Drosophila melanogaster: one gene and its partner. The protein of the gene in region 1 interacts with the protein of each later gene in a pairwise test. Each region holds a gene or a part of one and is shown on either strand. Other genes may lie near its edges.

What was found.
Region 2: the proteins of CG10948 (region 1) and CG3081 interact in a two-hybrid assay, tested with the Drosophila melanogaster proteins (one large-scale study listed by BioGRID).

What each region holds. Positions count from the first base shown.
Region 1 is NT_037436.4:12,843,888-12,852,137, forward strand, and holds CG10948 (uncharacterized protein), read right to left. Parts: upstream 6,231-8,250; 5' UTR 6,149-6,230; coding exon 6,145-6,148; intron 5,905-6,144; exon of another isoform or gene 5,853-5,904; coding exon 5,271-5,852; intron 5,209-5,270; coding exon 4,483-5,208; intron 3,270-4,482; coding exon 3,163-3,269; intron 1,967-3,162; coding exon 1,847-1,966; intron 1,782-1,846; coding exon 1,170-1,781; intron 1,038-1,169; coding exon 774-1,037; 3' UTR 367-773; downstream 1-366. Other genes in the region: Wbp2 (WW domain binding protein 2), read left to right, coding at 6,389-6,444, 6,611-6,910, 7,028-7,266, 7,422-7,835.
Region 2 is NC_004354.4:4,638,615-4,643,212, forward strand, and holds CG3081 (uncharacterized protein), read right to left. Parts: upstream 2,549-4,598; 5' UTR 2,463-2,548; coding exon 711-2,462; 3' UTR 645-710; downstream 1-644. Other genes in the region: pon (partner of numb), read left to right, coding at 1-45; CG3062 (uncharacterized protein), read right to left, coding at 2,754-3,038, 3,219-3,528, 3,580-3,716.

The DNA of each region.
Region 1 (8,250 bases):
AATACAACTTTAGTCAAAATATCACAAGAAATAAAAGAATTTGGAATAATAATCGCATTCATTAAATCCTTTTTAATGGATCAATCTTGTTAAAGCTCAAATAAAACTGCTAATGTTATTTGACATCGTGTTCGATTTCAATTAACGAATCATGTAAAGCTTGTGAATCAGGAAGCTTACAACTGATAACCAAACTCATAAATTAAGTTTAATTTTATTTTAATAAAATCAATTTTAAAAATAAGTATGGAAATCTCAAAATATTTAAGATGCTGTATTCGATTTCAAGATTAAGCTCTCTTGAAAGATGTGTGTTTGTGTCATTAACCAAATATTTTATCTGATTCAAATTAAAGAAAACTCTTTGTAGTTTAGCATACAATTTATTTGGTTCCATTCTTTCGCTTCCGTTCAACAAAAGCAACGCGACCTTCTGCCTCTCAGTTTATTTAAAATATTGATGTATATATATTTTGTATATATTGAATTCATTTAGCTTAAGTGTATATATATTCTTTAGGTTGAGTTATTTAAATAATTGAAACGGTAGTTAGTTTGTGGTGTCTTTCTTCCGATTGAGTTAACTTCGAGTACTTGCCCTTAAACCTGGATCTGGTCTCATTAAGTCGTGATTTCATTGAAAAACTTGCGTCTTTCCTTTGGTTAACATTTCACTTTCCTCCGCTTACTCGCTACTCATTATGATATAGTTGTAAGATAATTAAAGCATTTAATTGTCATCTTATTCGAGTCTACATTCCGCATTCATCCCCTCACTTTGACTCCGTCTGAGATTCAGTTGGTTCGCTGAAGCCACAGAATCTCCACTTCTCCTTTTCCGGCTTGAAGAGATTTGTGTACTTTCCGAGTATATTGGCTAGATCATCATGGTTACTGGGGGCAGCGTTATTGCGCAGCATTTCGCTTAAGTAACTGGCTATGTTGGCGATTTCAACGCCATAGGGATGCAGCACCAGATAGGCTGAGGCCAGAGCAATTATCTTGGCTTCAGACAAGACTAGCGACTTGAAAGTCACCTAAAACAAGGAATAGTGATTAGAAATATGCAAGGGAATGTATGAAATAATTAGATGCATGTAAAACTAAGATAAATTAAGTAATTAAATCTATATATATATATAGTTACACAAATAATTCTCATTACTAACCTCTTCCGCGGCCACTGTTGGGATTTGCTCTTTGCTGCTTTTGTTTATAGTCTCCTCATGATTCGACTTTGAAACATTTTCCATAATTGACTCATTTGCTTTGCTTTTCGTAGAATCCTTAGCGGGCTCCTGCTTTTCATCGTCCTCGATCTCGTGTATCTCCACCACACCGCTTTGGTGCTCTATGATGCGGACATCATCATCCACTTTATCGATATCAATTATTTCCGGTTCTGCCTGTGGGCGGATAATTTCTGTGCCTTCCCGGCTACACGAATCCCCGCTGCTGTAGTCGAGATTTGAGGCGTTTGAAGCATTTGAGGCTCCAGCGCTATTTGCCTCTTTGTCCCTTAATTTGTCCACTGTTTCCTTAATTTTGGTCTTCAACAGAAGTTGCTTAATGCCGGCATCCTTGAGATTTCGTTCCAACTGCTCAATGGTCTTGTTGTCCTTCTGTTCGCGTAGCTTCGTCTGCAGCAACTGGGTCTGCATGTTGCGAATGGTTTCCTGAAGTACCTTTATCTGCTTTTCGCGCTGAACATAATCACTGCGCTCCAGCGTCATCTCGTGACGAATGGCCTCCAGTTGACAGCGTAGAGAGTCGTTCTCGTCCTGATCCAATTTAAAATCTTTATTTTATTTCAAGTTACTTATACTAAACTATTTGATAAACATACTTTTAAGCCATCACTGTCGTAGCGAATTCGCTTGGCGCTGTGTCCGCGTCTATCGTAGTCCCGCTCATCGTCGGAGATTTCCATTTCATCATCATCTGTGATCTGGACAGTTCGAAGTTCCTGCGTGGCATGCGAAAGGAACTTCAATTAATTATCCGTTGCTACTAGTTGGATAGGTTTCGTTTGGTTTGAGTACCATTGCTTACACTATTATAACCTAGCTATAAAATTTGTGTATTTAAATAATGCATCAAATTTGTTTCCTTGCTTACGACTCTGTTCTGGTCCGCTTACTTACCTCGCCACATTTTCAAAAAGTTTTAGAATTTGTTTCGATTAATTTCTTTTTGCTATTAAAAATTAATTTGTATTTGTTGCACAAATTATGTTTCACAGCAGCAATGTTTTTAGTTCTTCCTTTTGCTATTTACCACAACCAATCGATTTCACTGAGTGCCCATCAAAACCTTCCTCGTTTTCTATAAAATTCAATTTCCCATAGAAACTTGAAGGTTTGTGGACACTCGGCTAAGGTTTACTTTTAGTTCGATGTATTTAAAGCGTATCGGAAATGTTATGCAAATGCTTAGTTAAAAATAGAGATAGTACAACAACAAATGATACTTGAAAGCCAAGAAAAGATAGACCAAAGCATTACAGATCAAGAGCGAAAGCAATAAAAGTAAAAGACCTCATATTTAGAAAGATACTAATGAGTGTTTATGATCAGGAAACTGTTTAAAAAACGCACTTTTACTTTGTAAAATGAATTCTTAGAAATATAGTAATATAGTTAACTAGTTTTTTAACAGTTTCCCTTAAAATAATCTTATTCATATATCTAATTCTACATAATTTAAACGATAGTACATTTTAAGCTTGCAAATTACATTAATATTAATATTGTTTCTTTTTTAGTGACATCACAACTGATTTGGAAATTTCGATAATCAAAAACACAAACAGCTAAAAAGAGTCTTAATGCACGGGACAAATAAAAGAAATTAACAATTAATAAAAAGCAATTAGCAGCTATAAGCGTCACCAATGGAATAGTACCATATGATTATATAGGACGGGTGAATGGGCGACATGCTGAATGATAACAGAAATTGCGTTAGTAAAATGGTTAGAAATCTACTGCAACACCACAACGATGATAACAACATCAACATAAACGGATACAACATTATGAAACCAAGAGATACAACAGTGAATCGAAGTTATTGGACAATAAATGTATTTTTTGTTTTTACACAATTTGCAACATCTTTGAAATTGTTCGTATTTGATTATTTGAACATTTTAGTACGTACCGTGGCTAATTTCTTCCATTGATCGATGTTTTTTCTTTGGGCTTTGGTGAAATGGTCCCAAACCTTCTTGTGACTAGCGGCATTGAACACTTTTTCAATCTGAGTGACTGAACAATAATGCAATAATATATAATAATATTAAGGGAGGACAGAGGGTATTTTTTTTTTTTTTTGATTGTTTGTTTATCTGGATTGGTTTTCAGTTTTGCTCTTCACCTTTGTCAAACTAGACTTGTTCTCTTTGCGAATAAAATGAGTGAGAAATGAAAAATTGAAATTAAACTACAGGAGAAACCCTCGCATAGCAATTATTTAATTAGAGTAGTTACGATTATTTAAGGTTGATATATTAGGTACAATCTAGAGAGAATACAACAGCGTGATTACCTATCTTTACGTTTGTCCGAGTCTGAGATTATCTGAGATGCTCTACAAGGACCTCTCAATCCATTACTGTACCAATTGTTTCAATTTGCTCTCTGCCTTGCGGCTTACAAACCTTTTGGGCCAAATAAGACTTAAGACTTTTGTGGTGGTGTCGAGACACAGTGAAAGTGAGTGAGGATCAGCCGCACAGTGGAGCGAATCAGTGAAAAGGGCGACCAACTTTTTAAATAAACATGATTGAATAAGAAATGATATTCCATTTTAATCAGGAAATCAAACTGTTAAATGAATGCGAAATGTAGTTTTATAGTTTTACATTAATATTAATTATCAAAATAATTGATAATTTAAGCGGGTTTTTGATTTAATACTTATTAGCGGTAGTTAATTGGCAGTAATAATTTAGTAAAACGTATTAAAACGACTGAACTTCCTAGTAAATGCATTAATCTTTCAAATGCCAATGCTTGTGCTAAGGCTCCATATACCATCACAAAACATTTTCAGATGTTAGAACAAAGGCAATCTCGATTGTCGCCTCATCCACTGACTTTTGCTGTGCGGCGGCCTTGGGCTTCGTCTTTTTCGGCTAGTCTTTACCTGATCCTGCTTGGATTCATTGGGCTTGCTCCAGCGACCATTGGCGAGCAAATTTTAGACGGTAGTTTCATATGTGGAGTTTGGCATTTAATAATTCGATGACTAGATTTGCTAAATATTGTGTAGGATGGGTATGGTGTGTTTTCAGTGTAGGTGTAGGTGTTTGGATGTGTAGTACGCTGGTAGATTGTTCAGATATACAGACGCTAAAAGGCTAACCCGGGCGCAACGTAAACAGAAAAATAGGATTTCAAAGTGGGATCGGCGCCTAGTTTCCCGTCTAGACTAGAGCTAAGAAAGCTGATCTTCCGGCTGAAAGGCCGAAATACTTACATTGCGTGGACATGGTGCCCATTTGGTTGCGATAGCTGTCTCTGGCCTTCTTTAGATCCTCCTCCAGTTGCAGTTTGTCTGCATGGAGTCTTCGTACATGGGCATGAGTGCTCTGGATCATCGAATAGAAGACATTGGCGTTCCGCTTAGTGCAATCTCCCCGCTCCAGCCACGCGGTAATCGTTTGAATGGCCTTTACAAAAGTCTCGTTGGTGCGTAGGTGCTCCGCAACAGTAGTAGCCTCGTGATCCGTGTAGTGCGGTATTGGTGGCGGCGACTGCGATCGCATCCTGTCCATCGACATGCGCTCACGATGACGCTGTTCCCTCTGATGCTGTCTCTGTCGACACTCGTAATCATACTGATCATCCCGTGCCTGTGCGTAGTCCACATGCAGGCGTCCAAAGTTGGGAGGTTCATTTAGCGCTGATATACGCAATCTATAGCCGGATAGGTAGATGGCCCTATCTATGGCACCCTCTTGGCGGTAGCGAATATGGCAAAAGTTCTTCTTGGACATGCGCAATGTGGTGATCTCGCCGCATGATTCGAAGATCTCCCGGATCACTTCTTCGGTTATGTTTTCCGGCAGTCCACCCACAAACACCGTCCGGCATCCTGGTGGTCGCTCCCTTATTGTGGGAGGAGGTGCGTTCGGATTAGGTGGAAACAGGATGCAGTTCTTGGTCTTGATCACCTCCTTGAGGCCAGCTGGTGTAACGCCATCTAAAAGTATGTTTTTATTAGAATGTTTATTTAAGGTTCCAATTTGGTATTGCTTTCATTACCCGCATTAAGAGTTGCTTCTAGTCCAGCTCCGGTTTCTGTGGTCATTCCGGCTGCTGCTGCCGCTGCATAGTGCATCTGTTGCATTTGTTGCATCGCCGCCGCCATCATGGCCGTAGGATCCATGAGCATTTGCGCATTGGCGGTGCTGTTTGCTGAAGCTGCCGGCGTGGATCCCCCTGCAGCCGAGGATGGATTGCCGGGTGCAGTAGCACCACCCGCTTGGGTGGCCGGAAAATACAGATATCCAGGTGGTGTGTGCACCAAGCCATTCAGGTATAGTTGCGTCGAATCGGGCAGAGTGAGCGAGTTGGATGTGGCCTGCAACTTGGGTTCCTTGTGCATCGTCGAGGAGCTCACATCCGCAGAGTGTTCGTTCTCATTCTCCAGATCCATGGGCGCACTGCCCTGTGGTTGTTGTTGTTGTTTTGCCATCTTATTCTGGATCTGTTTGGGGGGCGAAGAGGGATTTCCCACGACAGATGTGCTCGAGGCCGCCGTGGAAATTGCAGCTGCCAATTGGTTGAGGAAATTCGGGTGATTTGGCAAACTGACGCCATTCGGCATGGTCCCAAAGAGCGGTACTGCAAAATGTACACAGTTTGTAATTTGCTTTAAAAGAGATAACAACCCAAACGAAGCCGGTAGCAAAACAAAATAACCAATCAGCTGAGCACCTCAATTTTCGATAGGTAAAAAAAGGAAATAAAAGCTGGGGGGTGGCAAGTGCCCAAAATGGCGTAAGTCCCACCTGCTGATAAAAGTCGAATTCACCGCAAATACTGTTGTTTCTTAATTTCCCAGACCTTTCTATTTATTCCATTTTCTTTGCTACACATTTTGTGGGCTTTTTAAAATCATTATCTTATCACTTACGCATATTAACGCCCCAGTAATTGTACGACAGGTATGTATAAAAAAAAACTAATTATATTTAGAGATGAGTGACTGCTCGTACTGGTCACCCTAAAAAGAGTATCGATATCCGATAATTTCGGCGCTGCCACACTTTTCACTATGAATCATCAGCTGTCGTCAGTTTTCTAGAAAAACAAAACGTAGTTGTATGAAATTTTTGCAAATTTTTGTGGACTCAAAACAGTTGGAAAATTAAAGAGACATGTCGGTTAATACGGCTCACGCCAACAATGGCGTGCTCATCCATGCTGGAGAGTAGTAAGTTAACGGAAAAGTCCTTTAATTAACACTGAAAATGCTGAACATCCCTGACGTCATAAATGTAAACACTGACGTGTGGCTGGCGATTTGAAAGGAAATTAGCCTATGTTCCAGCGATAAGATAGAAATATGGCACACAAATTAACTGCTTTTACACTTTCAGCATACTGCTCCACAGCGACAGTGTCTCCATGGAGTTCTCCGGTCAGGACAATCCCATCTTCAAGGGCTCCAAAGGTGGCAGGATTTATCTCACCTCCCACCGAATGATCTTCAATAGCAAGAAGTCCTCGGATTCGATGCAGTCGTTCAGTGCCCCGTTTGTTGCTCTTTCGGATGTGGAAATCGAACAGCCCGTTTTCGGGGCCAACTACATCAAGGGAAAGGTTCGCGCTCAGCCAAATGGAAACTACGTGGGCGAGGTCAAGTTCAAGCTCCATTTCAAGGCAGGCGGCGCAATTGAGTAAGTGCATTGTGCACCTAAATTAAAACTAATTAGACGGATCTCTTGATAAGTCTTAATACTGAATAGACTCAAGAGAATATATAATGTTCTGATTAACAAGTCCATTTCTTATAGATATGGTCAAGCTCTACTGCGCTCCGCCAAGACGGCGATGAACAACTACCACCGCGGTGGTCTGGCTGGTGATGATCCGCCACCATATCAGCCGGCTGGATCCTGGAATGAGGCACCACCGCCGGCATATCAGCCACCACCTGGCTACTATGGCTGGCTGCCGCAGCATGACGCATTCAGCGGCCCTGCGCCGAATACGGTCTATATGAGCGACAATCCGCCGCCGTATCCGGGTATCGGTAAGTTAAACGCACGTGCACTTTACCCAATCTATACTCGGCTTTTGTTTTGGCACGCTGGCTACGCGAATTGGCAACCTGGCTTACCCACGAAATTCACGCTACGCACTCGCTTCGTTTAACCCAATGGGGCACTCCTCTCTTTTTCGTCTTAGCACCACCTGCTCACCAACCAGCACCGCAACAGCCGCAGGCACCGTCGTCGAATGAACCCAATTGGTATGGTTTTTCAGCGCCGCCGCCGCAGCAGCAACAACAGCAGCCGGGCTATGGGCCACAAGGATGGGCCGGTGGCTATGTCCAACCTCCGCCGTACGCTTCATGTGCCCCAAATTGTCCACCACAGCCGCCGTACGCCGCTCCGGCTCAGACGTACAATGGTCCACAGCCATATGGTGGATACGGCAATGTTCCTGGCGGATTTAATACCCCCGGATTTCAGCAACCGAATGGAAATCCAAATGGCTATCCAGGTGGACCACCGCCACCCGGACAACAAGCAGCAGGAGCAGCTGGAGGAGCCGCCGCATCTGGAGCCAGCTTTATGGGCTTCAGCTTGCCCCCTGGAAGTGAGTAGAACTCATCATCCCATTCATCACTTTTTTAACATTTCCCTCCCACAATGCACATTTCTAAATTGGTTTTATTCTAGCAAAAGATAAAAAAATATGAGCAAAAGGACAAGAAAATTATGAACATCTTTAAAATAGTCGAAACATCTAAAGATCTAAAATGTTATCAAGAATTTAATTGAAGTATCATGAACCACCTTTTGCTTTCGGACGCTCAAAGTATTCAAGAGGCATCCAAAAACCATTCAGAAGCATTCGTTCTGTTTATTTTTCTCACTTACAAAATTATTCAATTTGTCCAAATAATAAATGATTTGTTAGCATAATTCATTTGACGGTGTAATATTCCTTTTTTGGTAGTGTTTATATTTGTTTTTTTCCCATTTTTGAGTTCCCTTATCAGGTTTCTCAC
Region 2 (4,598 bases), on another chromosome or scaffold:
CATGTGTTCCACAAGAGTCACGATGCCTATGCAACCGCCAAGTGAGCAGGTTGGCTCCACAGATTCAATTGGTGCGTCGATTTTTAGGGGATTTCAAATGGCATTTCTGTAACCGAAAGCATTTAAATTTATTTGTTATTATTTTTGAAATGCGCCTTCCCCTTGTTGAATTGACCCAATTGACTTCTTTTCAATTCGATTTTTCAGCACCTAGTTAAGTTTTTAATTGCACCCAAAGATTGTCACACAAGACCAGCGAAAAAAGGAAAGGAAACCTTATTTCATCTGAAAACCACATCATCACCTAGTTTTTAATCAAGTTTTTTTTCTTAATTTTTCAAGCGAACTCTGCAAATTAATTTGCACACTGTTTATAGTTTTAAGTTACTTGATGTTTGCACGTTTATTCATATATGTATGTATGTATGTTTGCCCATATATCTTTATATATATATATATATATGCTTTCTAATATATATAACATTTGTTTTTTTATACATAAACGTGTGATTTCCTATTCTTGGACCGATTTTTCCGACTAATTTGTGTGTACAGATGCATCAATTTAATGCTAATGACTAGCAAACATTTAAGTTGATAAGTTAATATACTTGCTTAGCTTATGGACATTTTTGTATAGCTTTCAATTATTCATTATCCCGTTTGTCCGGACATTTCTCTCTTGAGCGGACTGCCATCCTGGAGCACACCTACTTGTAGACAGTTTGGAGAAGGGGTCGCCGCCGCTGGTCGATGGGCTTGTAGGCGTGCTGATAGACACTGGCCAATCGCCAGTGCTCTGGATAGCCGCCCTGACCCGCTCCGCCCGCTTGGCTTTGGAAGGGCGGCACCAGGGTTTCGATGTCGTAATTCTTTTTGGCATACGGCTGCCGGGGGCGTGGCACCACCAGAACCCTACCACCGCCACCGCCACCTCCTCCGCAGCCCGGTTCTATTCCCACGAAATCACCGGAGGCATTATGCTTGGGCACTCCGGCGCGAAATGCCGCCTTACTGGTCAAGCAATGTCCGTGTCCGTGTCCATGTCCATGGTGATGACCATGTCCGCCGAACGATGGGGGACAGCATCTGGGAGCTGGAGCCACCTTGTGGCAGAGACGTCGAGCTGGACGCCGGAGGAGAACGTCTCGCTTGCATGGTGGACCACCCGTTGGCCGGCAATCCATGGCCCTGCAATCCTGTCCAGAGTCCGGACCCAAATATTTCTCCCTCAAAGCCTGGTAGGCTTTGTCGCCCAGCAGGGGTGACGATTGATACTGCTTGGCTAGACGATCGGGCATCCCGCGACCGGGTAGCTCCGCCAAATTGCCGAAACTCACACCGCCAGTTGGACCGCCGATGCCCGATCCTCGCCTGCAATGCGATGCACTGGAATCGCGGGAGACACTGCGTGCTCTTTGTCTGGCCGGTGGCGAGTAGTCGCAGGCGCACGGATCCTCGCGATCCACACGGGCACCGCCAAAATCCGTTCGCTTCCTCAGGATGTCCTTGTCGAAGAAATCGGCCTCACCAAGCGTGCTGGTGAAGACGCCAGCCGATCGGCCCAAGTCCGAGGACTGTTCCTCGCGAGGCGTTTTCACGCAGGTGAAGACAGCCGGTCCAGCGGAGTCATTGGAGCCATCTATGTGCCTGGCCAGGCGCGGCTCATCCGATGGATTCGCCGGCTTGAAGTCCCAACAAATGGCCAAATCCATGGGTCCCATCTTTTTGGCCGGAGCGGAGCCAACACCTCGAAAGGCATCGCCATTGCCGAGGGCACGTGGCACGATGCCACCGCCGGTCTTCGGACGAAAGACCTTCATCTTGGTGCAGTGCGTCGGACCAGCATTGTGCGTTTTCACACCCACGCCCGTGGCAATGGGATCGATTTCCAGGGCCAGGCCAGCATGTCCGCCGGATATTTGCGCTCGCCGGAATGCCAAATCGGCGACGCAATCGGGCAGCGGCTGGTGGTCCAAATTGTCCTGGTGCATCCGTTTGGCCAGCTCGAAATTGGCATATGCCGGCACCACTGGCGATGGACACCGCTCGTTGGGCTTCTCCGTGATCGAGTGCAGCGGCATCTTCTTGATCAAATCGGGTTCGGATACGGATACGGGATCGAGATCAAAGCTTCGTATACCCACCGTCGGCAATGAGATTAGATCCTTGCCCGGCTCCAGGCACGCAAAGCTCAACTCGCTGCTGCGCTCCAAGTGATCCGTATAGCGATTTTGGGCCGCTGCCAATGCCGGAAATTGACGACCGGCCGCCGAGCCCAGCTGCTCCCTGTACTTGATGGGCTGCGTGTCGCGCGTGTCCAAGGTGAGACGACCAAGTGGCACGCTGTCCGTGCTGTTGCGTTTCTGGTCGAGGAGCTCCTGGTGCGAGGGCAGCCGGAACTGCGGCTCTGTTAGGTCGCCCGGCGTGTAGCTCAGTTCCGGGAGAGCTGTTTGCGACATGATTGGATGGAGTAATGGAGTAGGTGGCTTTCAGGTTCGTTCACTTGTTGCAATGCGTTGGTGGTGCAGAATGGAATGGGATGAGATAAGATGGAGATGGAGATGGAGATGATAATGATGTATGATTTATGTACATATGTAACAGATGGTTTAACCTGGGTTTAGTTATAAAATATATATGCTATATGATTTGTGTTGAGTGCAATCGTGCTGCCCTTTAAAATGTATTTTAAACCTGCGGTTACAATGAATTTGATTTGAATTTCGGTTGAACAAAATAATGAAGTTTTACTAATGGCCCTTCGCCGCCTTGCGCTCTTTCTCCTTGCCCTTATCCTTCGTCTTATCCTTCTTGCCCGCCTCCTTGTCCTTTGGCTTGTCCTTCGGCTTGTCCTTGGGAGTGGCGACAGTCGCCGCCGGTTTCTCCGACGATGGAATCGGCTTGGTCAGCTCATTGGGATGCAATGCCGTTCGTCCTTTGGAAAAGGCGGTTATGGTGCGCTTTCGACGCCGCTTTTCGGTGGCCACACCCGTCGTCTTGATTGCCTTCGGCGTCATCTTCACGGTTTTCTCGCTCTACGGTTGCAGGTGAATGTGAATGTGAGTGTGCAGGGTGCAGGATGAAAGTGCAAAAAGTGCAACCAGAAATGAAAATATGTATAGCTTGGTTGCAGATAACTCAATAATCTGGGTGCACATAATTGGTAAGAGGTGACACCGATGGTGACCCCGATGGTGACCCCGATTCCCACTCACCACCACGTCGCACTTGGCCCGATTGCAGCGCGCACTCCGCTCGCTCAACGCCCTCAGCTTCTGTAGTCCCTCGCACTTCGTCTGGCACCGTTCGCGCATCCAGTAGGGATCGTCCTTGTGGCCCAAGGTCAACCGCTGATCGCAGGCCAGTGCCCTGCGGTTCTCTCGCTGACAATTGCACAGGTCACGCGGAAAGTCAACAAACTTGTACCGCCCACTCAGACAGGCATCGTAGTGGGCGCAAAAGGCACGGGTTATTCGACGCGGTAGCTCGTAGGTTCCACGATATTGGCCAAATGAGTTGCCCTCCCTGTGGATTAAAATTAAACTGTATAATTGTGGGGCATTGGCAATTGCTTACTTTATCACTTCGGGCAGCAGGTGACCGTTATTGGCCGCCACAACCTTGGCGTTCTTCTGCAGACCACGTGGGCGGGGTGGTGAGAATCGCGGATATTCCCAGTTGTTGAGACGCTTCGACTGGAATCGGCCTTCGAACTGCAACGAACGAGTAAGTAAGGAACTCGATGTCAGGGAGCTGGGCATGGGCATGGGCATGGGATTAGCCAGGAGTCGATAGACACCTGTTAGGAAAACGCGCACGCCCCCTGCGAGTAATGCCCTTATTTATGGTCCCAGCGCAAACAAGGCAATTGATAAAAAGAAAGAACAAAAAAAAAAAAAAAAATTGTAGAAGGAGCAGAGCAGAGCAGAGCAGTAGCCCACCCCGCAGCCGTGGCCAAATGTCAATCGAAAACCGGAACCCACCCCGGGCGAATGGAGGTGGGGCCAATTACACGGCGTAATCTCTACGCTGGAACATGTGTAGAAAGGCATTTGTCTAATGCCACTTAATGCCTTGTTTGTGTTTGCCTTTCTAAAAATTTCCAACATCTCTGCGCGCGCTAAAAAACGAGCCACTGCATCTCATCCAAAGCCCGGACCATTTATCAGAAGGATTAGCCAGCCCTAAGCGGGCACAGGAGCAAGTGAGCCCGGCAATATGCCTGCAATTGAATTGGATTGAACTACTATGTGGCATAATTGAATATGAATATGAGAAGTGAAATCTGTTAAATGGAAGATCATCTCTTCCAAAAAAAAAAAAAAACATGGAGCAACATCCAACTTTGGGAGATTCAAAGCTTTCAGGCTGCGTGGTCTTCCCACGCGTACGAATTTCAATTAAGGAATGCAAATGGACCTTCGCTGGTAACTCGATACTCGGAGCGCTCCGAGTGTCACCACTTGATTGAGGCCTTGATCGATGGGTGCTGCAGTGGGTGTTCCACTGGGTGCTGATTCCGTATTGTGAGTGGGTGTGACAAGGGCGCACGTTCGCAGCGCGTGGCTGTTTTGTTGGTCAACCAGCATTACCGC